Linked DNA regions of Mytilus edulis. The protein of the gene in region 2 purifies or fractionates together with the protein of the main gene of each other region. This does not show direct contact. Links are inferred from orthologs where the notes say so. Each region holds a gene or a part of one and is shown on either strand. Other genes may lie near its edges. The genes, in order: ubiquitin carboxyl-terminal hydrolase 48-like and ubiquitin-like modifier-activating enzyme 6.

Evidence for each region.
Region 1: the proteins of ubiquitin-like modifier-activating enzyme 6 (region 2) and ubiquitin carboxyl-terminal hydrolase 48-like fractionate together in Homo sapiens (co-fractionation; 3 studies listed by BioGRID, with this or other methods). This does not show direct contact. The link is inferred for Mytilus edulis from reciprocal best matches to the Homo sapiens genes UBA6 and USP48.

The regions. Positions count from the first base shown.
Region 1 is NC_092344.1:102,352,741-102,365,914, forward strand, and holds the start of ubiquitin carboxyl-terminal hydrolase 48-like, read left to right. Parts: upstream 1-6,505; 5' UTR 6,506-6,631; intron 6,632-11,877; 5' UTR 11,878-11,887; coding exon 11,888-13,174. Other genes in the region: DALR anticodon-binding domain-containing protein 3-like, read right to left, coding at 1,193-1,369.
Region 2 is NC_092347.1:10,915,795-10,929,561, reverse strand, and holds the start of ubiquitin-like modifier-activating enzyme 6, read left to right. Parts: upstream 1-6,811; 5' UTR 6,812-6,922; intron 6,923-13,767. Other genes in the region: ubiquitin-associated protein 1-like, read right to left, coding at 1,577-1,613. UniProt on the Homo sapiens protein: Activates ubiquitin by first adenylating its C-terminal glycine residue with ATP, and thereafter linking this residue to the side chain of a cysteine residue in E1, yielding a ubiquitin-E1 thioester and free AMP.

The DNA.
Region 1 (13,174 bases), on a different chromosome or scaffold from region 2:
CTCTAAATGGCTTCATTTTTAAAAATAAATACCTGGCATGATGTTTGTTCTTCTTTGGCAAGTAATATTTATTTAGTTTGTTCTTTAATACTTTATACTCATCTTCTCCTTCTTCATCTCTTAGGCTTCTTTCCAATCTTGAAATATCTTTTCCTCCAAAAATGATTAATGCATCCTTTTTATCCGCAGGTTCTGTTATTCTGAAATATCTAAATTCCCTCTCTATACTTTCCATCCATTCTTCCCAATGTTTTCCTGTAGATATCTGATCATCCGACTGTAGAAACGGTTGTGATCGTAAATTTCTAGTTTCCGTAATTACCGTTATCTGCTGGGGCTCTCCTCGGTCCATAATCTTTATTTTATCAGTATCTTCTTTTAATTCCTTGTTTTAGCACTATCTTCTTTCAATTCTGTGTTCCGGTAAATTTTCTCTTTATTTGCGCTGCTAAACACTGCTTCCTTCTTTGTTTTTCATCCTCGTCGCCATTGAAAGATCTGAGCAAGACTTGATGGTTCAGATAGTAATTTAATAATGGCTGACAAATATACAATTGGTATCGCTGTAGCGAAGTTACGTAACAAGTAATTGTCCCGAAGGTTTGTGCGTGACGTTCCCGGAATAATCACAGATATTACAATACCAATCAGGGATATCAAAGATTTCAAATCATACCTAATCAGCAATAAAAATTCAATCAACAGTAATTAAAAGTAATTATAAAATAAAGTGTAACAATGCAGCCAAGAATTTTATCTAATTAATATTCTGTATTTAACTGTTAATAGATATACATAAATTTTAATATTTATAAATATATATTTCTTTCATTAATGTAACATATATACATATCATAAATGAAAATAGGGCGAACGAACCCAGGGCGAACGGATTACCAGGGCAAACAAACTCAGTGCGAACGAACCTAGGGCGAACATGTAATCAGGGCGAACAATCCCGATACCATTGTGTATAGTACAATGCATCTGATTAACCAAAATTAACTTTAAGCTTAACATTGACCATTGAACCAAGAAAACAATCTATTCACAGTCAATATGTAGTTGTGAGTTATGATTATATTCGGTCCGAGTTATCTTCATAGACATGCCTATTTGTTTTTTTTTTCTAGACGCATGTCGGGTCCGTTCAGATCGAATTATTCAATTTGTCTATTTTAACGCACTGTACCTCTACCGAAACAGCTTTTACAAGACCTGTTGGCATGGAAACATCACCATTTTTGAGATCCCTGTTTCTTTTACAAAGAACAAGCCGCTGTACACAAATATTATGCTTTTTCAAGCATGATTCAACGAGTTTTTCACAAGTTTTGATACTTTGTTGAGTCCACGTGAAACTTTCCATGTTTGTTTACATCGACTCTGCATCTTTCGTGCGTTTTGAATATTTGGGCTGTACTTGATTTGTCTACTTAAAATAATCTGATCACATTACGTATAACCTGTGACTATCTGCGAGTACTATAGTAGTCCCGGTAACCGAATAACTGTTACGTTTTGTTTTTGACATCAAGAAATGATTAAAAATTAAATATCAGTTTGTCGACACGGAGTGTGTAGGTCTTCCAATGAGCACCAAATGCGCCCATTTGAAACTGCCGTTATAAATCCCTGATTAGATTTAAGATAGAACTCAGAACTTGAGTGATCCGTAAAGATGAAAGGGATTGGAAACGTGGAAAATTAAATTTAGTCAACGATTTCGTTATATTTAAACATTTGACTTTACACAATTATTCTCCATTCCAAACTAAACTTTGAAGGCAAATTGAAAGAATTTCTATTGCTTTGTTTATAAAAAAAAGAATGGCCAACGTAAATACAAGTATCTTGTCTTAGAGAGGGATAAATTCTACCTTGCAAAAAATCATTCAACATGTTGAATGCATCTATCCCATCGAACTAAAGATAAAAGCTGCCGCATATCTTAATTTACGTCTAGAAATTGACAATAAGAGTCGGTTGAAAAGTCTTTTCAGTGAACTCTCCATTTCTATGTAGCAACATTACACAGCGCTTGCATTCTCAGATCCGGACATCCTGGCATTTACATTTGTCAGGAGGTGATGTCATCCGGAATCCTCTAGATTTTTCATCTATTTGAAGGGGATTACTGATTATTTATATTGCCGATTATTTTTTAACCAGAGGTTATAGTATGTTAAAAATCAAAATAGAGATATTATATAGTGTCTTTAACAGTATTAAAAGAGTAAAATTACTATATTCAACTGGTTACGATATATATCAATTAAATTAATTTGCAATAAGTCTATAGACTAATAGTCTAATAAAATCTAGAGGAATCTTATCCGCATCACCTCTCAACATTGTTTACATAACAAAAATGCTAATCATTTATTGGTCAGTTACATGTTGTGATGTCACTGCAGATCTGAGAATACGAAGTATTTGTCTCCCAATTGATACAATATTCCTGAGCTTGTACTTCCTATTATGATTTTTTTTATAGAGGTTTATAATTTGCTGCTCACAAGAAAGCTATAGCTTTTTACCAAGAGTTCCAAATGGTGAAGTTGAAATCATCCCTTGGCTGACTCCATTATAGAATATCCGTTTTACAGTGATCGAATATTTTCCTTATATGTCGTGACTACAATCCGTTCCCTTTTCAAGAATGTGACATACCTACTTAGGCAAATAGTATTTACCGGAATTGTAATAACATGAGCAACACGACGGTGCCACATGTTGAGCAGGATCTGCGTATCCTTCCGAAGAATCTTAGATCAACACCAGTTTTTGGTGGGGTTCGTGTTGCTTAGTCTTTGGTTTTTCTATGTTGTGTCTTGTGTTCTAGAAGTTGTCTGTTTGCCTTTTTCTTTTTTTAGCCATGGCGTTGTCACTTTATTTTCGATATTTGATAAAATATACTCGGAAGATGTGGTATGCCTGAGTGCCAATGGGACAACTCTTCATATGAGTTCGAATGTGCCTCTGGTATCTCTCGTCCCTCTTTTATAACACAACTTAAAACCTTTACTAAATTATTTCAATAGAATCAAAGATTTTGGTTCGGTACTTGTGGAAAACTTATTATAAACGGGATCTCACATCCTAATTTGAACGGTGATGTTGTTTACCGAACTGCCGGTAGTTTGTTTTTGTTGCATTTGAATAAATGTATGTAATGTCATCAAATCAATGTATAAATAAATAACAGATTTTTGCAGAAAGCCGTCTAGATTTTCTTATTTTGTTTGGCGACCAAAAAAAGACTATCCTTGTATTGGAATCTACACCAAATAAATCATTTAATTTGTTTCAATGTTCACATGTTGATGACTACAAACCCTATTGTGATAGTTGTAACATGTATTTGTGAAAAAAAAAACCATACCATGTTTTTATATGTGTAGCTTGAGTTCAATTAAAGGCAGTCATCGAATGGTGCTATCATGTATGTTTATAGTAACTGAGTAAATAATTAATTCGTCCAACTATCTTGGTAGTAGAGTTAATGCAGAAGGAAATATCAAAGAATTAAGAAGTCAACATCCGTATTGGTAAAATCTGGTAAAGCAGCTACTGCATTCAAAAGTCTAAAGAACATTCTTATGAAAAATCAACAGAATTTCTAGAAAGACTAAAATTAGATTGTTTATATATGAGCAATGTTAGATCAGTTCTACTATACGGTCCAGAAACATGGAATTAAACTTAACAAGTTCTACAGAAAATCGAGTTAGAGGATTTGAAGGACGCTGTTAGAGATGCATTGTTAACATCAATTGTAATTTCAAGCAGTGAGCTATCAGAAAGAACCGGTGTGATGAATATAGTATATAAATATATATGAGATCACGAAAAGGCGGTGGAAATATATTGGACACATATTCAGAATGGATAACAACAAGGCATGTGAAAAAAGTGCTGACGTGGACACCACAAGGGACAAGAAAGTCTGGAAGACATAAAGGCACATGGAGAAGAGATATACCAGCAGAGATTTAAAAAAAAACATGGTTACACCTGGACTCAGATAGAACGAGTTGGAGGTCCGTTGTTGGTGCCTTATATCTTCAAGAACACGAAGAGGATTAAAAAAGTAAGTATGCTGATAGAGAAAGAGTAAACATATTTTCCAATTACCGACTGCAGAGACATTACATGTACATGTATATAGTACTATTATAGTTGTTTTTGTCGAACTTTTCCAATTTTATACCATTTTCAACAAACTATGAGGGATATAAACATTAGTGTCTTAAAAAAAATATCCGGCAGTACACCGATAATTGACCATACAGTCTTGTGCTAAAGACTATAAACCATATACTAGTCTGGCATGAGCTGTCGAACCATTTTCAAATGGAAACATCTTTTAACCAATTCGAAAAAAAATGGAGCATACTATGCTTTTAACTTTTATATGTCATCTATGGTATCTGCACTGTATGTTTAGAATTGTGTGCTTTTCATGACTTTTGTATGTATATATTTTGTTATTCAGTCGATTTTAAAAGCTCGCTTGAGCTTGTGTTATGAAGTTTTGTTGAATATCGACTTAAAATAAAATTGAATTGAAAAAAGTGTGACAGTAGTCTCAGACTAAAGAAAACCTTTCTTCTGTCTTTTTTTAAAACAATTTATCAGATTGAAAATATATCAGTTTATTTAGAAATAAAATTAACGGTACCAATTTTCTTGCACCAGATGCGCATTTCGACAATACATGTCTCTTCAGTGATGCTCGTGGCCAAAATATTTCAAATCCAAAGCTTATATAAAAGATGAAGAGCTATAATCCAAATGTGATGCTAATGTAATTGAGTCAAATGAATGTTTATGCCAGAAATGACCAATGACGAATTTGTTTGATTCCATTTTGTTGCTTTCCATTTTCGTTCCATTCTCTCCATTCCCGGTATTCCATTTCATTCTCCGTTCCATTCTCTATTCCTTCTACATTCCATTCTCCATTCCATTCCCCATTCCATATTCCATTCTCCATTCCATTCTATATTCCATTCTCCATTCCATATTCCATTCCATATTCCATTCCATATTCCATTCCATATTCCTATCCATATTCCATTCCATATTCCATTCCATATTCCATTCTCCATTCCATATTCCATTCCATATTCCATTCTATATTCCATTCTCCATTCAATATTCCATTCTCCATTCCATATTCCCATATTCCATTTTCCATTCCATATTCCATTCTCCATTCCGTATTCCATTCTCCATTCCATTCTCCATTCCATTCCCCATTCCATATTCCATTCTCCATTCCATTCTATATTCCATTCTCCATTCCATATTCCATTCCATATTCCATTCTATATTCCATTCTCCATTCAATATTCCATTCTCCATTCAATATTCCCATATTCCATTTTCCATTCCATATTCCATTCTCCATTCCGTATTCCATTCTCCATTCAATATTCCATTCTCCATTCTATATTCCATTCTCCATTCCATATTCCATTCTCCATTCCATATTCCATTCTCCATTCCATATTCCATTCTCCATTCCATATTCCATTCTCCATTCCATATTTTATTCTCCATTCCATTCTCCATGATTCGGACCTCTTCATTCCATTCTCCATTCTCCATTCTATTCTCCATTCCATTTTCCATTCCATTCTTCATTCCATTCTCCATTCCATTCATCATTCCATTATCCATTCCATTCTTCATTCCATTCTCCATTCCATTCTTCATTCCATTCTCCATTCCATTCTCCATTCCATTCTTCATTCCATATTCCATTCTCCATTTCATATTCCATATTCCATTCGCCATTCCATATTCCATTCTCCATTCCGTATTCCATTCTCCATTCCATATTCCATTCTCCATTCCATATTCCATTCTCCATTCCATATTCCATTCTCCATTCCATATTGCATTCTCTATTCCATTCTCAATTCCATTCTCCGTGATTCGGATTTCTTCATTCAATTCTCCATTCTCCATTCTATTCTCCATTCCAGATTCCATTCTCCATTCCATTCTCCATTTCATTCTCCATTCCATTCTCCATTTCATTCTCCATTCCATTCTTCATTCTATTCTCCATTCCATTCTCCATTCCATTCTCCATTCCATTCTCCATTCCATTCTCCATTCCATTCTCCATTCCATTCTCCATTCCATTCACCATATTCCATTCACCATATTCCATTCCATCCATTTTCATATTTACCATTCATCGTAACCGTTACATTCAATATTCCATTTAGGATTCCATTCTCCATTCCATTCTCCATTCAGCCCATTATCCATTCCATATTCCGTTCAATCTTCCATTCAATATTCCATTACATTCTCCATACTATATTTCATTCCAAAACGTTGCATGGATGTGATCCACTGAAAACAACATCCAAGCAAACTAGCCTTACTAAACATTGAACAACATGTTTCGAAAAGCGGCCAGTTTATTGTCGTCCTCGACCAGAATATATGAGTGATGAATCAAGCTCAATCTTTTTAAAGCATGTATCTGACCTTGATCAACCCGAAAAATTAGAAAGGGACAGAACTCTTCACTCTTGAATCTGAGGCGGGAATGACTATAATCGTCGTTTGAAATGACATTGTTTCCCCTTACATGTTCAGAAAAATAGTAAATATTCTTTCCTTATCTTATGAAAAGTTTCAGCTTTTGATTACACAAATGAAAACATTATTTCTGGTCCGAAAAAAACCAGCATTGATATTAAAAGTTTCGTTGTGAAAGTAGCATCACATATCCATTCATAAAAAATACAAGTTTGCTTATGTGCTGATTTCGTTTTAGAATATTTGGTATTTAGTGAACTGACATAAAAGAACAATACTTTTTTAATCAAAACAATTTAAACAAGACAAATCAACAGGGTTCAGGAAATACATGTATACAAATGTATTTATATTGGGTAGAATAATTTCTGGTTGGTCAGGTCACATAACCGCAAGCTTTAATACTTGTTTTTCTATATTTTTACTGTATTTATATATCAATTGGTTGAATCTTATTACATTTCAAATTTGAGAGTTTAATCATGAGAAATAAAAAGGTTGTTAGCATTTTCATTTGGCACTGTCATTGAGATTTATCCTGTCATTATTTTCCCTAGTCCAAATAATTATGACGTCTTGTAAGGCGTCAAAGAAAAAAATTATAATAGCCTTTCAAGACGTCATAATTATTCGGACTATATTTTCCCAAGCTTTAGAAAATAAAAATTTCATATTTTTTCTTAAATTTATGTATTAAACAGTCAGGGGACTTACTGAAATAAGTGATTTTTAAATCACTTATTTGAGTAGCAAATTCGAGGTTTTGTCACAAATTGGGATTATGTAGTTTTTTCAAAATTTTAAACACATAGGTTTAAATAATATCTTTTAATTAGTAAAATAAAAAAAAATGAACTTTTTGCTTCTTTTAAGTAGCAAGGTTTATGCCTTTGATGCTATCATTTAGCTGAAAATTCTATTTTAGTTGAAAAAATGCTATAATAATGGCTTTACATAATGAACTGATACTTTCTTAAAAGATTTTTCCCAGCAGTGGGAGTATTTTTCCTGTGAAGTTCAAGGTTTCATCTTTCAGATTATGTAATAAAATTCTACTGTTCGTGATAAAAATTCCACTGTTCGGGGGTGTTGAAATTAGTGGGGGTTATTAAAAGAATGATACTTAAAGAAGTGATTTTTGAGAAGGAAATTGAGGTCTGATACTTAAACAAGTGATTTTTATGTCATTATCCTAGATTCAGTACAAGGTCATCACCTGAAATGACCTGGTCATCCTAGACAACACAGATGTTGGTTCTGATAAGTTTAGAAACATAATTAGTCCCTGGATCATTAGTATTCTATATTTAAAGCTACAATAAGATTAAATCACTTCTTCTAGTGATTAATTTGTACTACTTAAATAGGTGATTCTTAAAGACAACTCTAACTTCCAACCTTTATGGAAATAATGTTACTTGAATCAGTGATTTAGAAAATCACTTATTTAAGTAAGTCCCCTGACTGTTAAAAGATGAAATCTTATATTTTAAATTTGAGAGTAACATTTGAGAAATAAAAAAAGCATTTGAATTTGGTCCTGTGACCTGTCATTGTCAGCATTTTTCATGTCATGTTTTCTGATTTTTTTTTTATAGTTTTTTATTAAAAATTAATGTTTTAAAAGACATTTCAAATTTGATAAAAATCCTTTGAGAAAAAAAAAAGTCATTAACATTTTTTTCATTTGGTCCAGCTGTCATGGTCAATGTTGGTCCTGTAATTGTCAGCGTTGGTCAGGTCATGTTTTCAAAAGCTTTTAAAAAATAATTCTATATTTTTTCTTAAATCTATGTATTTTAAAAATTATAAAATCTTATAATCTGATAACATATTAAATTTGAGATAACCTTGAGAAATAAAAAAGTAATTAGCATTTTCATTCTGGTCCTGTCATTTAGTCCAGTGACGTCACTCCACTCAGAAGTGTAACCTGTTTATAGTTGGTTGTTTCATGCTGATTCCTGTAAAAGTGTTTGCACTGATTCTTTGAGCTTTGAAAAGTGTTTTACTGTGATCTTAAAGAAATATATATATATATATATGTTGAAAATGTCATTGACTGGAAGTAAATATGATTTATCATAGTATACATGTATATATTATTTATGTCTAAAAATATTGTTTTGAAGGTACTTAAAAAAAAAACTTGTTATTAAGTTTATAAATTGATTTAATGAATTCCTGTCTAATGCTCAAAGTAATGAATGGGTATTCAGTAAATGTACATGAGACAATATTCTGATTAAAGCTCCCATAGGTAAAGTGTATTTCACTAGGCCCTTATTACTGTAAATTCAGAAATTATTGCATACATTTATTATTGCAATTTTCTTATTATTTTAGACTAAAATGCGATTTTAATTTTTACAATGTTGAGAAAAATCCTGTTTAAGGTAGCACAATACAAAGATTTTTCATTCTTTAAACTGATGTAATTCCACTCATCTTTCTTTAAATTTTATAAATGAGGTACCAAAAGAAAGAAGGATTAATCTTTCAAATTGTGATAATTTCATTATGACATAATTATTACATAATTAATTGTTATGTAATTAGTTGCCATATTGTGATGTCCATACTTGAATGAATTTAGCTTCTTTGTTATTCATAGCATCCCAAAATATTTTATAGATTCTTGCACAACACAGTTTGACCTTCAAAACCGTGTCTCAGATTTTTCCTATTGTATTTCATTCTCTCATAAATCTTCAATGAAGTTTGCAACATCAATTCATAAGAGACCACTAAATTCAATTAGGTATAAAATTTGTTCTATTGATGTTTTTGGAAATCTGAGACAATGTTTTGGAGGTCAAGCTGTGTTGTACAAGAATCTATAAAATATTTTGGGATGCTATGAAGAACAAAGACACTAAGTTCATTCAAGTGTGAACATCACAATATAGCAAATAATTATATATATTATGCATACAAATGGCACATCAATATAATTAATTATCTGCGAAATCGTCCCCCACTTTCAATGATGATTCTAAATTATAAATATAACCAAAAGTTGTTAATCTATAGATAGTTAAGACTAATGAAAGCTAATCCAATGTAAAAATATTTCTTTGCAATTTTTTAAAACTTCCTCAGAAAAATACTCGAGCCACTTGACTTTCTTAGCTCAAAATTAACGTTTTTACACAATATTTGAATAAAGTAGTTGAAGATTATTCGCTTCTCAAAGTGTAAGACGCAATAAAAATCGTATGCTTGCACCATCCTACCGAAATACGGATTTAAATAAAAGTCCTGAACATTTCAACATTTCTTCGTATATTTTGAACAAAACCGGTTTTAACCAAATCACAAGTACGTGTTAAGATCCGACTAAATACCTATTTTCCTATATGGTCAGGTAAAGTTGCTAGAGTGTATTTTTAATAATAAAAAAATAACCATTGAATCTTCCTCAATTGAAAAAAAAGACAACTTGAAAAAAAAGTATTAAGACATTCGACTTTTTTCATATTTCTACCAATATTTAATTATATGTGATGAGGTTATATTTTTGCCAGGCTTTAATGAAAACCAAAGAAATCTAAAGTTTGGGGTGAAATCCATAGCACCCCATTAAAAGTAAATGGTCTGTACTGAAATGTTTTTAATGCTTTAAAAAAAATTGGCAGCATAGCTCCTAAGGACATGTTTTAATTGAATTCACACAGGCCACACAGTTTGGGTATATTTAATATTGTAAGAAAGAGAATAATTGCAATGAGTGGGGCAGCCCCCCTTATCCTAAAGGAGCATACTCATTGCAATCAAAGATAGATTTAATATAGAGAGAGTATATTTATTTTTCAAGCTAACCATTCATTTTCTCTACATCTTTGTGAAGTTAGGGTCGTTCTTATTGATTTGGCATGATCTATATCCATTAACATTTCAAATGAGCCCTTCCTCCGTACAGGCGTGTTTACAGATATCCATGACGATTTAAGTCACAGAGGAGTGGTTTCATCTTTGTCGTCTTCACAACGATTTGTAGAAAATATGCCATACTTCAAGCTGCTGTCGAATTATTTAACCACTGAAATTGGTTCCATAAAGTCAGGCTCCACAGATTCTGTACCCGATTTGTTTGAGACAGAATGGTTATCGTGTCAGTTATGAATATCCGCTGTATCATCGTCAATGATATCATCACACATCATTACATGTGCCTGAATCTGTATAAACAGTTTACTAATAAACTTTTTTGTTTGTTATTTGTCTTAAAATTGACACGAGACGACAGCATAAAGTACTTCCCCGTGACTTCATGGATACCTGTAAACAATTTCCATGTGCTTTATCATTAAATGGTCACATGAACGCTTGACGGGAAGCTAAGAAAAACCGAACTTGAAATGCGTAATTGACCCAGACTTTAAATCATTTCCGGAAAGGACCCAAAGTTCCGGATCGCGTCAATAGAAGTAATAAAAAAAAAATTCTTCAAATTTAAAGCAATAAAATTTTCACAATCGGGAGGATTTTCAAGGGTCGGTCGGTAAACTGCAAACAAACAATATTTTAATTTAAGCCTTACCCTGTCGCATTTTTCACAATAATTTCTGAATTTACAGTACTATAGATTCATTTATTTTCATGGGTATCAATTTCCGTGGTTTAAGGAAAACTTACATATTCGTAGATATTTGCTTTCATGGATTTGACAAAGTCTGCACTCATTCCTATAGAAAATTTGTAATTCGTTGGACATTTAAATTCGTGGTTCTCTTGTACCTAGAAATCCACAAAAATTGGTACCCAATAAATATTAATGAATCCACAGTATACATGTATATAATTAATTGATGTCAATACATTCAAAGAAAGGACACAACACAGTCAAACCTTGTTGTGTTAAAACAGGATCTACGTTTTGCATTCAAGTTGCTATATATATGCTTGCTCTCAGCAATAAATTTTTTTTTTGGGTGTTAAATCTAATAAAAATGATTTTTCTCAAAAAGCTTAGGATACATTTTTAACTGGAAGTTTATATTCTTGCATTGAAATTGAGGATAAATTAAAATAAGGAAAAACACATTGAAAAGACTGCGAGCCTTCTAAACATTGTAATTAACTCTAGGATGATAGTAAAACTTCATTTGCAACCCTCAAATCTACAATTACCCATGAAAACTCTTGAAATACAGTACTGTTATTGTCTGATCACAGAATACTGAGGTCAAAGAACTTACTTTGCCTGATTCTAACTTTGATTGTTTTATATGTAAGATTTATTAAGGATGCTAGCATAATCACTGGTTTTAGAATGTTGACTAATAGACATAATACTATATATTTCAGGTTTTTGAAGATGCCTTCAAAGTTTCAGCTTGATAAAGCAGCTTGGCAATGGGCAGAAACAACTGATCCTGATAATGTCACGTTTGACCATGTTCGGACAGCATACAGATTGAACTTAAAACCATGTCCGTTAGGATCTTGTAAACGGAACTGCAAAGGAAATCCCCTTTGTCTCAATGCAATAGGAGAAAGAGTGTGGTTCGGGAAAATTGATGATGATGATTGGCACCAAATTGAAGATCCAAATTATGAGAGGCGGGATGATGATATGTTTGTTGGACTCAAAAATCTTGGAGCCACCTGTTATGTAAACACATTTCTTCAGTTATGGTTTCATAATCCTGTTATCCGAAATGCACTTTACAAATTCAGAGAACCAGATGAACATGTGACTAGAGATGTAACAGCAGAATGGTCACCTTCTTCCATTGGGGGTCATCTTCAAGCATTATTTGCTTTACTTTCATTATCTGAGAGAAGATATTTAGATCCTAAAGACTTCATAACACATTTAGGTTTAGATGCTGGTCAGCAGCAAGACGCTCAGGAATTTTCAAATCTATTTTTAACATTATTAGAAGATGCCTTATCTAGACAAAAGGATGCATGTGTGCGAAATGTTATTCAAAATCAGTTTAGGGGAGAATATGCATACGTTACTACTTGTAATAGATGTGGGACAAAATCTGAAAGACCATCAACATTCTATGAACTGGATTTAAGTATAAAAGGTCATAAAACTTTAGACGAATCTTTAAAAGATTTTTTACAGGAAGAGAAATTAGAGGGAGATAACCAGTATATGTGTTCTTCGTGCAATAGTAAACAGAATGCTTCACGAAAAATACATTTAAAGTACCTTCCACCTGTTCTCAATTTACAACTTTTACGATTTGTTTTTGACAAGAAAACTGGAATGAAAAAGAAACTGAACAGCTTTATTCAGTTTCCTGAACAAATTGATATGACAAAATATTTGACTGTGAATAATTGTGCTGGCGATTCAGCCACTGCTGAAGGTGTTGACGGGAATTCTGTTACATACAATCTTACAGCTGTATTGATACACCGTGGTCCCACTGCTTACAGTGGACATTATATTGCACATATCAGAGATATCAACAGTAAAAACTGGTATAAATTTAATGATGAGGAAATAGAGAAAATGAAGGGAAGTAAGCTTCAGTTGGGTACCGAGGACGATCCAGAAGAGACAGGCGGTAAACAAAAAGGCAGATGTCCTAAAGGATATCATTCATCACGTAATGCATACATGTTGGTCTATACACTAAATGAA
Region 2 (13,767 bases):
TTTAAGTTTGCACCCCTCCTAACCTAAAATCCTGGATCTGCCCCTCATATGGTTTAGGGGTGGGGAGCTCGACCGTTTCCAAGTTATCAAACAGGAGGGGGTAGAGTGACTCAAAGAATACCACCTATATATCATATGATTTACTTACATTAAGGTATATATAATATAGTTGCATTATTTGTGAAAATAAAGAAAGAAACTTTCAGCTACTTTAATTGACCCTTCAAAATTGAGAAAAACAAATAACCCTTCAAAATTGCAGTAATATGTTTACACTTTAAAAGCATCTCACATGCATTATCATCATTTATCATTTATAAAGAAAATTTAGACTGTGACCATGAACATGTATATTATTAGATATACTGTTCCCAGCTGTCACTTTGTATTGGATTTTTAGATTAAAAATTTGTCAAAAAGTAATTTTGAGTTTCTGAATAAAATATTTTTCTGATTTTTCTTTCTTTTACATATATCTTTTGGTTTACAATTCTAGTGTTTATATTCATTAATTTACCATGCATAGATGTGTTGTTTCACCTGCTTGGATTTATTTTGTAAATGATCGCCAAACCCGGAAGTACCCTTATCCGCTTCCGGAATCGGATCCGATATTATAAAATTTGGTCTTCACGGCCGCCATTGTTATGTGTTTACAATGCTGTTTGTGTCAATCAGATACGATTTTACTCGAATTTATACAATATTTGTCGGCGATTTTCTGCATAAAGCTAGCGGTTGAACAAAATGAACATCGCTGTCACGACTAATAATGATAAAAATAAGTTTTTAGCTCGTTTAATTGGAGACTTTGGTGAACATGGTGAAAAGGTTTGCAAAGTAATTTCTTGTTTTCTTTCAAGTGGAAGGTGACTACGTCGGGCGTAGCTAGAAACTAACTATCCTATTCGAAATTCCGCTTGCAAAAGTGGACGGTCGCGGACCTCGGACCACCGCTAATTTGCACACTTGCCTCCAAAATGAAAAGCTACGAAAATTTCTTTTTCCAATTTGAAATTGCCGCCAACAGCATGAACAGTTGAACTTATTATATAATAGACTACTGACGTAGTTGTACTACGTATTGATGACAAACAATATTCCTACGACTTTTGTCATTTGGGAAATCTAAACTACTTGTCTTAAGAGATTTTCGGCGATTAAATATTTCATACAATTGTTCTTTGACATCTTAGCTAAAAGCACAAGTCATAATGAACTACACAAGGATTCTTAATAAGCACTACTTCCTATGTGTAACTTTAAAACTTTTGGATAAATTGACGATCATTTAAGGTTTTTCTGGTCATATTTTTTGTAATCCAGAATAAAAAGTATTAAAAAAGTGTTCAATTAGTTATATATAACATAGTAGCGAGCTAGATAATAACAATGGCAAGTATTTCAGCATTTATTGGGTAGAACACAAATCTAGGGTGCTCGCATAATGCAGCTTAACTGCATAAAAACATATTTATATATTAATTGCATAATTTATATACACACTACATTTTGAATATCACTATAATAAAGCATATCTCTATTTTATTATGTTATTCCTCTATTGTAACCATACCAAAACTTGCTTCCCGTTCCACTGTTCTGTAAGCCATGTCTCAACTCTGAAATAAATATACAACTTAATTGGATTAAATTCATTTAAAATTGATCGACAAGGACAGTTTTCAGTAGCAAATATCACATACCTACTTAGCAAGTTAGGGAAAAATATGATTTGCGTAAGCCATGTTACAGTGTTTAAGTAATAGACAGACATATATATATATATAAACAAGTCTAAATTGAAAACTACGTTCAAACCTATGATTACGTTGGATAAAAACCGCAATTTTTATACGTGTGCATGTAAAACAAATTTCGTTGTAGAAGGGTCTAAATATATAATAGGCTCAATCAACCTGTAGATTGCAGATATTGTTAGAGGTATTTGGACTCATTGCTACATGAAGGATGTCCAAAGTCAAATGTATCACCGTACTTTACATGTACATTTGTAGTATCAACATAAAAATATCATTGTCAAAATTCAGGGCTACATGTAGTTTCACTAACCCCATATTCATATATGTAGTGTTGCATAGTATAGATAATATCAATTGGATGAGCCTATTTACTTTAGCACCAACTAATAATACTAGATGTCACTCCTTAAACCTCTTTTAGAAACAGTGTAAGAAGACACATACATCAGTCAGGGGTACTACTTATACAAGTAATTTACTTGTATACATGTAGGTAAAAAAAAAACCTAGTTATGTCCCTTAGACATTCAGATGTCATTCTATCTTCTTTTCTTGAATTCTTAGGATTTCTTTGCTCTAATAGAATTTTAAATGGTCTGCCCTTTGCAGATGACTTTACTAATCATTTACTGTAAGTGTCATTTGATGGACAATGAAAATCCCATTTGTTTGTTATCTTCAGAACACTGCTCATTTAAAAGCCCCCAAGGAGCAATTTTTGAAGGCCTTGCACAAATACTTAAAAAGTAAAATCACAAAAATACTGAACTCCAAGAAAAATTCAAAAAGGAAAGTCCCCAACCCTTACCATGCGGTGACTGTCATGGGGGGGAGACCACTGTTATTTGGCTACAAAATATTTTTAGAAGTACGCTTTATGATACTTATACTTGTACAAGTAGTACCCCTGACTGTACATGTAGACTAAATACTTTTTTCAATTGGATCAGTGGAACAGCCTTCATATTTAACAGTGACAGCAAAGACTTTGAATAATTTTAAGTCAGTGTTAAATGTGAGAATTGGAACCCATATAAATCTATATATTCATGTTAATTGTTAAGCTAAGCGCACCTTAATAAGTTCTATTTTTATAAGTATAATATATATAAATCATTTTTCTGTTTGTGTGTGTAAATATATTTTTATGTGATTATTATGAGATGAGAAATTGCATTACAACAATCCAAGATGAGGGGTCAGTAGAAGACTTTGGCTTATTTCAGGACCCGAAAATAAAGTATAAAGGTGGTTTTCTATCAATTTCAATATGAACATACATTTAGTATGTTTAATAGTATAGATATATTTTACAGACTTAAGATGTATTGAGTGAAAGTAAAGTATATATTCATCATTTAACACCATTTAAATAAGTTGGTTCGAGTTAGCAGTGGTACAAGTGTAACGGCGACCCTATGTTTTGGAACAGAATTATGTCCCTTTAAAATGGACTGTTGTAAAATTAACATTTAATTACTATTGTTAATATGAATTATTGATAAAAATTGTTGTTTAACATGTTTATACATTTAGTTACATTATTGTGCTATAACTCATTGAATTTATTCTCATATTTTGTTGAATTTGCAACTTACAGTTTAGTTATAGAGTGTTCATATTTGAATAGTATTTATTAAATAACTGATAATTTAAATAATTGTACGGGGCTTGTTTTCATAAGCCATTTGGTTGATAAAACGACCTCTTATTTTAGCTTTTTAGTAAGAGCTTACTGGTGTTGCACACCTCGATGTCTAACTGGTCTTGCACAGACCTCAGTCACTATTTACACAAAAGGTCTGGCACAGACTTCATTGTCTAGATGGTCTTGCACAGACCTTGCTCACTGTGTACACGAAAGGTGTTGTCAACACGAAAGGTGTAATGCATTTCACAGTATCTAGACACAATGTCGCTGTTGTGTCTAGAATTATAATGCATTTAGCTAGACAAAGGTTAAAATGACAGATTAAGCTATGTCACTTTTAAACTGTATGTGAATTTTAACTTGTTGTTCATATTCATGTTTCATGTTTTATCTTTACAAATTGTTGATATTTGTGGAATTATATGTAATTTGCTAATAAACTATGAAAACTTGCTAGTGTTAAGTTTTGCAAAGCCAAATATGAAGGATCAGAGACTCAGGATTCCTATACCTACTCTTTACACGGTCTGGGGTAAAAATATGTTAAAGTTGACACAGAAAATACACAACGTAAAAACCCCTCCGGTTACATTTTGGTGGCAGCGGTGGGATCCTGAGGTGAAACATCTGATCTTCTCATTAGGCGGCAATGCTATTGATATAGTTAAACATGTTAAGTAAAATTGTCAAATTTTAATATTGTAAAATAAATGTCATTATGCTTGCTTGATGTTAATTTTGATTTTAAAAGATATTGCCATGTATATGTATGTAATAATGATGAGTAATCATTTCAGTTTAACTTTAGAGACTGATTATAGATTGGCACAGAGATAAAGTATGTATTGATATTGATAGAATGTAAATGCAATTAATTGCATAGATGATAAATTTGAAATGGTTTAAAGAAAGCTTAACTTAGATTGTTTAGATAGAATGGTATATTTTGATTATATTTGTCTTACTTAACACATTCAGTAATTACACATAGCTCAATATAAATGTGTATGAATCCGCAGGAACAGCATTGTAAAGTACCTCATTGTTGTATCCTTTAGACCCATGAAAAGGGATGTCGCTTACATCATTTTATTTTATGCTAACTTGCTTCAAGATTATTATGTTTATGTGGATATAAGCTTGGATGTCAACATAATTGTTTCTGCCCGATTGACGTGTTTTAATCGCTAATGTGTGCCTCTGGTTCACGTAATCGCTTTTGGCCTTTTATAATAAAGTGCTGGTTGTTGCATGATTGTTTTATTCTATAGTAAATATCTCTTAAACACATACAGAATACATGTATCTACATCTTAGACAGTTACATTATTTCCATAGCATTTGACACAACAGTTTACTGGGTGACGATTCAGTTTTACTATTTGTTTAATTTTGTTGTTCAATTTTTCAGCACTTGTTTTCAGTTTATGGTGATAATATGAGATAATATACGCGTGTTAGAACTTATATTGGAGATGACCTGGCCAGCATTTCTAGTATTCAAATGGTGAATGAGTTGGACTGTGTACCGTGTGCAATATATATGGATGAAAATACTGTGTGTATATAATGGAGATTCATACCAGCCTTGTTTTTAAACTTCATGGCTTCAGTTTTTTTAAGGAGGGAGGAATGTAACGGCGACCCTATGTTTTGGAACAGAATTATGTCCCTTTAAAATGGACTGTTGTAAAATTAACATTTAATTACTATTGTTAATATGAATTATTGATAAAAATTGTTGTTTAACATGTTTATACATTTAGTTACATTATTGTGCTATAACTCATTGAATTTATTCTCATATTTTGTTGAATTTGCAACTTACAGTTTAGTTATAGAGTGTTCATATTTGAATAGTATTTATTAAATAACTGATAATTTAAATAATTGTACGGGGCTTGTTTTCATAAGCCATTTGGTTGATAAAACGACCTCTTATTTTAGCTTTTTAGTAAGAGCTTACTGGTGTTGCACACCTCGATGTCTAACTGGTCTTGCACAGACCTCAGTCACTATTTACACGAAAGGTCTGGCACAGACTTCATTGTCTAGATGGTCTTGCACAGACCTTGCTCACTGTGTACACGAAAGGTGTTGTCAACACGAAAGGTGTAATGCATTTCACAGTATCTAGACACAATGTCGCTGTTGTGTCTAGAATTATAATGCATTTAGCTAGACAAAGGTTAAAATGACAGATTAAGCTATGTCACTTTTAAACTGTATGTGAATTTTAACTTGTTGTTCATATTCATGTTTCATGTTTTATCTTTACAAATTGTTGATATTTGTGGAATTATATGTAATTTGCTAATAAACTATGAAAACTTGCTAGTGTTAAGTTTTGCAAAGCCAAATATGAAGGATCAGAGACTCAGGATTCCTATACCTACTCTTTACACGGTCTGGGGTAAAAATATGTTAAAGTTGACACAGAAAATACACAACGTAAAAACCCCTCCGGTTACACAAGTTTGCATTGGTACGAGTTTTTTTTTAGTGGTACGAGTTGACGTTGGTACGAGTTTACAATGGTACGGGATAACTATAATTCAAATGTCGCTATTGGTTATCAATGCACATGAGTCATGATGCACAGTAAAACTGAAGGACCTTTGAGAATAGTCACACAATATCTGTTTTCAAACTAAAACGTATAATTAATATAGTGTATTTGTAAAGCATGTCTATTTGTAATTATAAACATGTCAATGAAAACCAAACGGATGTACATATGCATAATTTCTTCAGTGGTTTTTATGTTTATAATTTGTGACAGTCTGATTTTTACAGTACTTCAACTTCGTTTTGACTTCAGTGTTGCAGCTCTGGTGCTTTAAAACAAGAATTCGCTAACAATTAATTGTAATTACCATTTTCATACTATATTCTCTGTTATTATTGTCCTTTTATTCTCGATGATGTCATGGTCAGCAGCGAAATGACAATTCAAGAAAAGATAATCTATTATTGATTTTATAATGTCAACTTCCGGTTTAATATTGAGAGGCTCAAGAAGGGTTATTATTTGATCTATTAGATCTACCAGGTATTAAGTTGAAGTATTTCATGTCGAATAACCTTTTATGAATATGAGTAACTATAAATGTTCATTGGGTTTATTTTCTGTTACATGAATAATAAGGAAATAATAATAAAAATCGTTTATGCAATTTACTAATACCTGAGGATTTTTTTTAATTCTGGCTTTTGTGCTTGTCTATACAATTTTACTATATGTCTGCAACTACTTAACATAGTTTTAAAATTATTCGTTTCTTTCGTTAAACTATTCAAGAAATTTGAAATAGGGCCTTTGAGTCCTTTGAAATAATTATGAGTTTTTTTACGAGATATCAGAGCCAAGTTCGGGATGACAATATTTATATTTTTTAATTTTCCGCTGGGCTTTCACAACTTCCGGTTAATCTGGAGTGATTTCCCTTTGGAAATGTTTTTTATTTTGCAGTTTCTAGCTCTTTGTTTCTGATACAAGCTGCATAATGTAAGCATATTGACAGTTATACACTTCAATCAAGTATTTTTGTTATGAAGATGAAGGTTGAGTCCCTTTTTCATGACTAATAACATATTCAAAATATTTGGTTTGTGCTATTAAAAATTTCTAGCTTTTTGGGTCCAAATTATAAAAACAACTATTTTTTGTTATCATCTCCTATTATATATGTAAGTTCGTGGTCTAGTTATTTAGACTGATGTGTACAGTGCTGAAGGTTCTGAGTTTGTCTAGGGTGTTAAAATATCAGTACAACAGTGGTGATTTTAACCCTCTGACACATATCTCTGTCTCTGGTACCCAGACCGTAGTAAAATCTAGAATAGGTAATTAGGAGGCCTTAGTTGGTCAAAGTTTCTCTGGAATTTGATCTGGAGATCAATCTGCGGATATCTTTTCGGTACTGTTTTCTGCCATGCAGCCCGGTGGTACTTACAGAGTTCTTCGGCTTTCTCCACCATAATAACAGATTCTGCCCTGTGTCCAAACACTCCCTCATGTTTGGGTGGGAATTGTCTTTGTAAATATTGTTGTAAACATGTTAGTGACACATCTTCATTTATCCCGATAGGGAGTGAACACAGATTCCACTGTGCCTACATGTATGCAGCTCTCAAGGGGTGCTCCTTAAACCGAGGGATCTACATACACACAGTACCATTCAAACGGATCGATTCGATTTCCGAGTTTTTTGAAGCCACACAGAGTACCGCGGATTTCACTCCCTAATTCCTGCAAAGATTCTCTCCCAACTCCGCGTGGCTGTTAATTGGTTTATTGCCCATCGGATGTACTAAAAATTAACAAGGCGTAACAACATAATTGGATTAGCCAGATAATTTACCTATGTACATTTTGTACATTTAATCGATCTTGATTGCACAGGTGTGCTATAAAATCACGGTATTAAAATTTTTTAACAAATGTTTTCCTTCCTTTGTCAGATAAAGATGTGAAATTATAATTTAGAATAAAATAATTATTATCTTACAGGTTTTTGTCCCATGTCATTATCTTTGAAATAATTTTACCAAAAAAAAAATGAAGAAATTTATTTAAACTCAATTTATTGAGCAATGTAAAATATTATGTTTCACCACCTCGATACATTTATACAGACTTGAATAATTAAAATTAAGAAAAGAAACTGTAAAGTGACAACTCTGTTGAACAATTGGAATAACTTCAAGTGATTTTGCTAGTGTTCGTCATTTTCGTATTTTACGAAACGGTTTTCAAATTGACGAAAGTATTTTATATCAATTGCGTCATTTAAGTTTTGAAAATGTAAAAATATATCGCATTAAATTACTATAATTTTACCTGCCTTCATGTTTTTGACAAGTTTATGACACTCAGCCATTGAACGTTTACAAAAGATGTTAAAAGTTGTGATAAGTAATCTGCTTATCGCCATCCGATAGGTCACTAATCCTTTAAATATTATTAAACCTCAATTGCCCATCATAATATTCTGTTCCATATGAGCGTCACTGATGAGTCTTATGTAGACGAAACACGCGTCTGGCGTACTAAATTATAATCCTGGTACCTTTGGTAACTATTCCAGTTAAATCAGTCAGCGTTTCATTTTCAAAATTTCTAAATTGCCCACAGTTGGCAGTTTTTTATCATATTTTTGTCATTTGATCACAATTGATTCCCCCGTTCAATATCTCATCATAATTTCAATTTTTCATCAACCATAAATTTATATTATTGACCATGGACGTATAACTAATGTTCAGGTCTATGTCCTGTTTTGACCGATAATATAAAAAATTAAATAGCTAAAGAAGATGTGTTTTTGTTTATTCGGAAAAGAATTATATTTTAGATTAGATACATTTTGTGTAGTTAATCAATTGTTAAAGGACCTTGTGGAGCCTCAATAGAAACGCACAAAAATGTCTTTCTGCAACTTTTAAACCTGAATGAATTTTCCCACGGTCGTCCAGAAAGATCACCTGAGTTTACTGGTACGTGATATTATTTGCCGCCCTTTAAAAATCTTGTGCTGCGGATAAAACCAATGTTAACTATTGTTATACGTCTGCAAAATTGAAAATTTTTTGGTCGTATATTGGTATCAAGTTGGCGCCATCGTCTGTAGTCGTCGTCGTAGTCGGATGACATTTGGTTTTCGCACTCTAACTTTATTAAAAGTAAATAGAAATCTATGAAATTTTGACACAAGGTTTATGACCATAAAAGGAAGGTTGGGATTGATTTTGGGTGTTTTGGTCCCGACAGTTTAGGAATTAGGGGACAAAAAGGGCCCAAGTAAGCATTTTTTTTGGTTTTCGAACAATAACTTTAGTATAAGTAAACAGAAATCTATGAAGTTTAAAATTATGTCTATAACCACAAAAGGAAGGTTGGGATTGATTTTGGGAGTTTTGGTCCCAACAGTATAGGAATTGGGGGCCAAAAACAGGTCCCAAATAAGCATTTTCTTGTTTTTTGCACAATAACTTTATTAGAAATCTAATTATTCTGATTTAGGGAGTTTTGGTCCCAACAAATTAGAGGCCAAAAGGGTCCAAAATTAAACTTTGTTTGATTTCATCAAAAAATGAATTATTGGGGTTCTTTGATATGCCAAATCTAACCGTGTATTCAGATTCTTAATTTTTGGTCCTGTTTTCAAATTGGTCTACATTAAGGTTCAAAGGGTCCAAAATTAAACTTAGCTTGATTTAAACAAAAATTGAATTCTTTGGGTTCTTTGATATGCTGAATCTAAACATGTACTTAGATTTGTGATTATGGGCCCAGTTTTCAAGTTGGTCCAATTCGGGGTCCACAATTGTTATATTAAGTATTGTGCAATAGCAAGAAATTTTCAATTGCACAGTATTCTGCAATAGCAAGAAATCTACAATTGCACAGTATTGTGCAATAGCAAGAAATTTTCAATTGCACAGTATTGCGCAATAGCAAGAAATCTTCAATTGCACAGTATTGTGCAATAGCAAGAAATATCTAATTGCACAATATTCATTGCTATTGTTGTCTTTTTTCAAAACTACCGGCTCTACCGTTTTTTATTGGGAAAAATGCATATTTTTATTGAAATTGGAAAATTTGTATATTTTATTTTGAACACATCTCCGATTTTTTGCTGACCTTTGCTGTCTTTTCTGCACTGTTTTTTCATGTATATTTTGGTTGTCAGACATTTTCAACCTGAAAGGTACTTTTTGGAGAGGGGAAAGACACAGAAACAATGATGGTACTTAATGCATTGAAAACTATGTGTTACAAACACCATGAAATTTTACAAAAAGGAAAGATGGACCAAGCAGTATGCATGGAATGCCAAGCTAACTGCCTCCATCTACGACTAGATTAGCTGCTTACATCTAATTATATGCTAAGACCTTGGCAGGAGTTCACCTTTTACTCAAATTTTACGATATATGAAAGATTTTCTCTTTTTTTATTAATTAATGATAATTTTTATTTTTTAATTGGTTACATTATCTCTTAAAATCTATTACCATACTGCCATATATTTAATCCCATTCTTATTGTTTTTGTTTGATCTACCGTACTTATTTTTACCTTTTACCCTTTGATTTTATCATTTTTCTTTCACATTTAAATCCTTTTTTTTTTTTTTTTTAAATCTATTAAACATATGATAGTAACGTCTCATAAAAAGGGATCAGAACTGTTTTTAAAATCATAAACTCCAACCTAGGTAGAATCAATTCATAAATGATGTAAATAGCACATAATTTTACACAATTGTTCTTAAAATTCACAGTTTTACCTATATATAAGGTTTTTTATATGACCGCAAAATTTGAAAATATTTTCGTCGTATATTGCTATCACGTTGGCGTCTGCGTTGGCGTCTGCGTTGTCGTCGTCCGAATACTTTTAGTTTTCGCACTCTAACTTTAGTAAAAGTGAATGGAAATCTAAGAAATTTTAACACAAGGTTTATGACCACAAAAGGAAGGTTGGTATTGATTTTGGGAGTTTTGGTCCCAACATTTTAGGAATTAGGGGCCAAAAAGGGCCCAAATAAGCATTTTCTTGGTTTTCGCACTATAACTTTAGTTTAAGTTAATAGAAATCTATGAAATTTTGACACAAGGTTTATGACCACAAAAGAACGGTTGGGATTGATTTTGGGAGTTTTGGTTTCAACAGTTTAGGAATTAGGGGCCAAAAAAGGGCCCAAATAAGCATTATTCTTGGTTTTCGCACTTTAGTTTAAGTAAATAGAAATCAATGAAATTTAAACACAATGTTAATGACTACAAAAGGAAGGTTGGTATTGACTTTGGGAGTTTAGGTCCCAACAGTTTAGGAATTAGGGGCCAAAAAGGGACCCAAATAAGCATTTTTCTTGGTTTTTGCACCATAACGTTAGTATAAGTAAATAGAAATCTATGAAATTTAAACACAAGGTTTATGACCATAAAAGGAAGGTTGGTATTGATTTTGGGAGTTTTGGTCCCAACAGAATAAGGGGCCCAAAGGGTCCAAAATTAAACTTTGTTTGATTTCATCAAAATTGAATAATTGGGGTTCTTTGATATGCCGAATCTAACTGTCATGACTGTGTATGTAGATTCTTAACTTTTGGTCCCGTTTTCAAATTGGTCTACATTAAGGTCCAAAGGGTCCAAAATTAAACTTAGTTTGATTTTGACAAAAAATGAATCAGTTAGGTTCTTTGATATACTGAATCTAAAAATGTACTTAGATTCTTGATTATTGGCCCAGTTTTCAAGTTGGTCCAAATCGGGGTCCAAAATTAAACTTTGTTTGATTTCATCAAAAATTGAATAAATGGGGTTCTTTGATATACCAAATCTAACTGTGTATGTAGATTCTTCATTTTTGGTCCTGTTTTCAAATTGGTCTACACTAAAGTCCAAAGGGTCCAAAATTAAACTTAGTCTGATTTTAACAAAAATTGAAATCTTGGGGTTCTTTGATATGCTGAATCCAAAAATGTACTTAGATTTTTATACGACCGCAAATTTTGAAAAAATTTTCGTCGTATATTGCTATCACGTTGGCGTCGGCGTCGTCGTCGTCGTCGTCCGGCGTCCGAATACTTTTAGTTTTCGCACTCTAACTTTAGTAAAAGTGAATGGAAATCTATGAAATTTTAACACAAGGTTTATGACCACAAAAGGAAGGTTGGTATTGATTTTGGGAGTTTTGGTCCCAACATTTTAGGAATTAGGGGCCAAAAAGGGCCCAAATAAGCATTTTCTTGGTTTTCGCACTATAACTTTAGTTTAAGTTAATAGAAATCTATGAAATTTTGACACAAGGTTTATGACCACAAAAGAACGGTTGGGATTGATTTTGGGAGTTTTGGTCTCAACAGTTTAGGAATTAGGGGCCAAAAAAGGGCCCAAATAAGCATTATTCTTGGTTTTCGCACAATAACATTAGTTTAAGTAAATAGAAATCAATGAAATTTAAACACAATGTTAATGACTACAAAAGGAAGGTTGGTATTGATTTTGGGAGTTTAGGTCCCAACAGTTTAGGAATTAGGGGCCAAAAAGGGACCCAAATAAGCATTTTTCTTGGTTTTCGCACCATAACGTTAGTATAAGTAAATAGAAATCTATGAAATTTAAACACAAGGTTTATGACCATAAAAGAAAGGTTGGGTTTGATTTTGGGAGTTTTGGTCCCAACATAATAAGGGGCCCAAAGGGTCCAAAATTAAACTTTTGTTTGATTTCATCAAAATTGAATAATTGGGGTTCTTTGATATGCTGAATCTAACTGTCATGACTGTGTATGTAGATTCTTAACTTTTGGTCCCGTTTTCAAATTGGTCTACATTAAGGTCCAAAGGGTCCAAAATTAAACTTAGTTTGATTTTGACAAAAATGAATCAGTTAGGTTCTTTGATATGCTGAATCTAAAAATGTACTTAGATTCTTGATTATTGGCCCAGTTTTCAAGTTGGTCCAAATCGGGGTCCAAAATTAAACTTTGTTTGATTTCATCAAAAATTGAATAAATGGGGTTCTTTGATATACCAAATCTAACTGTGTATGTAGATTCTTCATTTTTGGTCCTGTTTTCAAATTGGTCTACACTAAAGTCCAAAGGGTCCAAAATTAAACTTAGTCTTATTTTAACAAAAATTGAAATCTTGAAGTTCTTTGATATGCTGAATTCAAAAATGTACTTAGATTTTTTATTATGGGCCCAGTTTTCAAGTTGGTCCAAATCAGGATCTAAAATTATTATATTAAGTATTGTGCAATAGCAAGTCTTTTCAATTGCACAGTATTGCGCAATGGCAAGAAATATCTAATTGCACAATATTGTGAAATATCAAAAAGAAATTTAATTAGAGTTATCTTTCTTTGTCCAGAATAGTAAGCAAGAAATATCTAATTGCAAAATATTGTGCAATAGCAAGATTTTTTTTTAATTGGAGTTATCTTTCTTTGTCCAGAATCAACTTAAATCTTTGTTATATACAATATACAATGTATATTCACTTTTTACTACCAACTGATAAATTAAAATAATCTTTACCATTCAGTGATAACAAGCAGTTTTTTTTACATCTTAATATTGATGTATTTAAATGAGTAGTTATTGTTGCAAACTCCATTAGAAATTTTAATTGAGATTAGTTTTGGAATAAGGGAAAGGGGGATGTGATTAAAAAAATTGGGTTCAATTTTTCTCATTTGAAATTTCATAAATAAAAAAGAAAATTTCTTCAAACATTTTTTTGAGAGGATTAATATTAAACAGCATAGTGAATTGCTCTAAGAGAAACAAAAATTTTAAGTTCATTAGAACACATTCATTCTGTGTCAGAAACC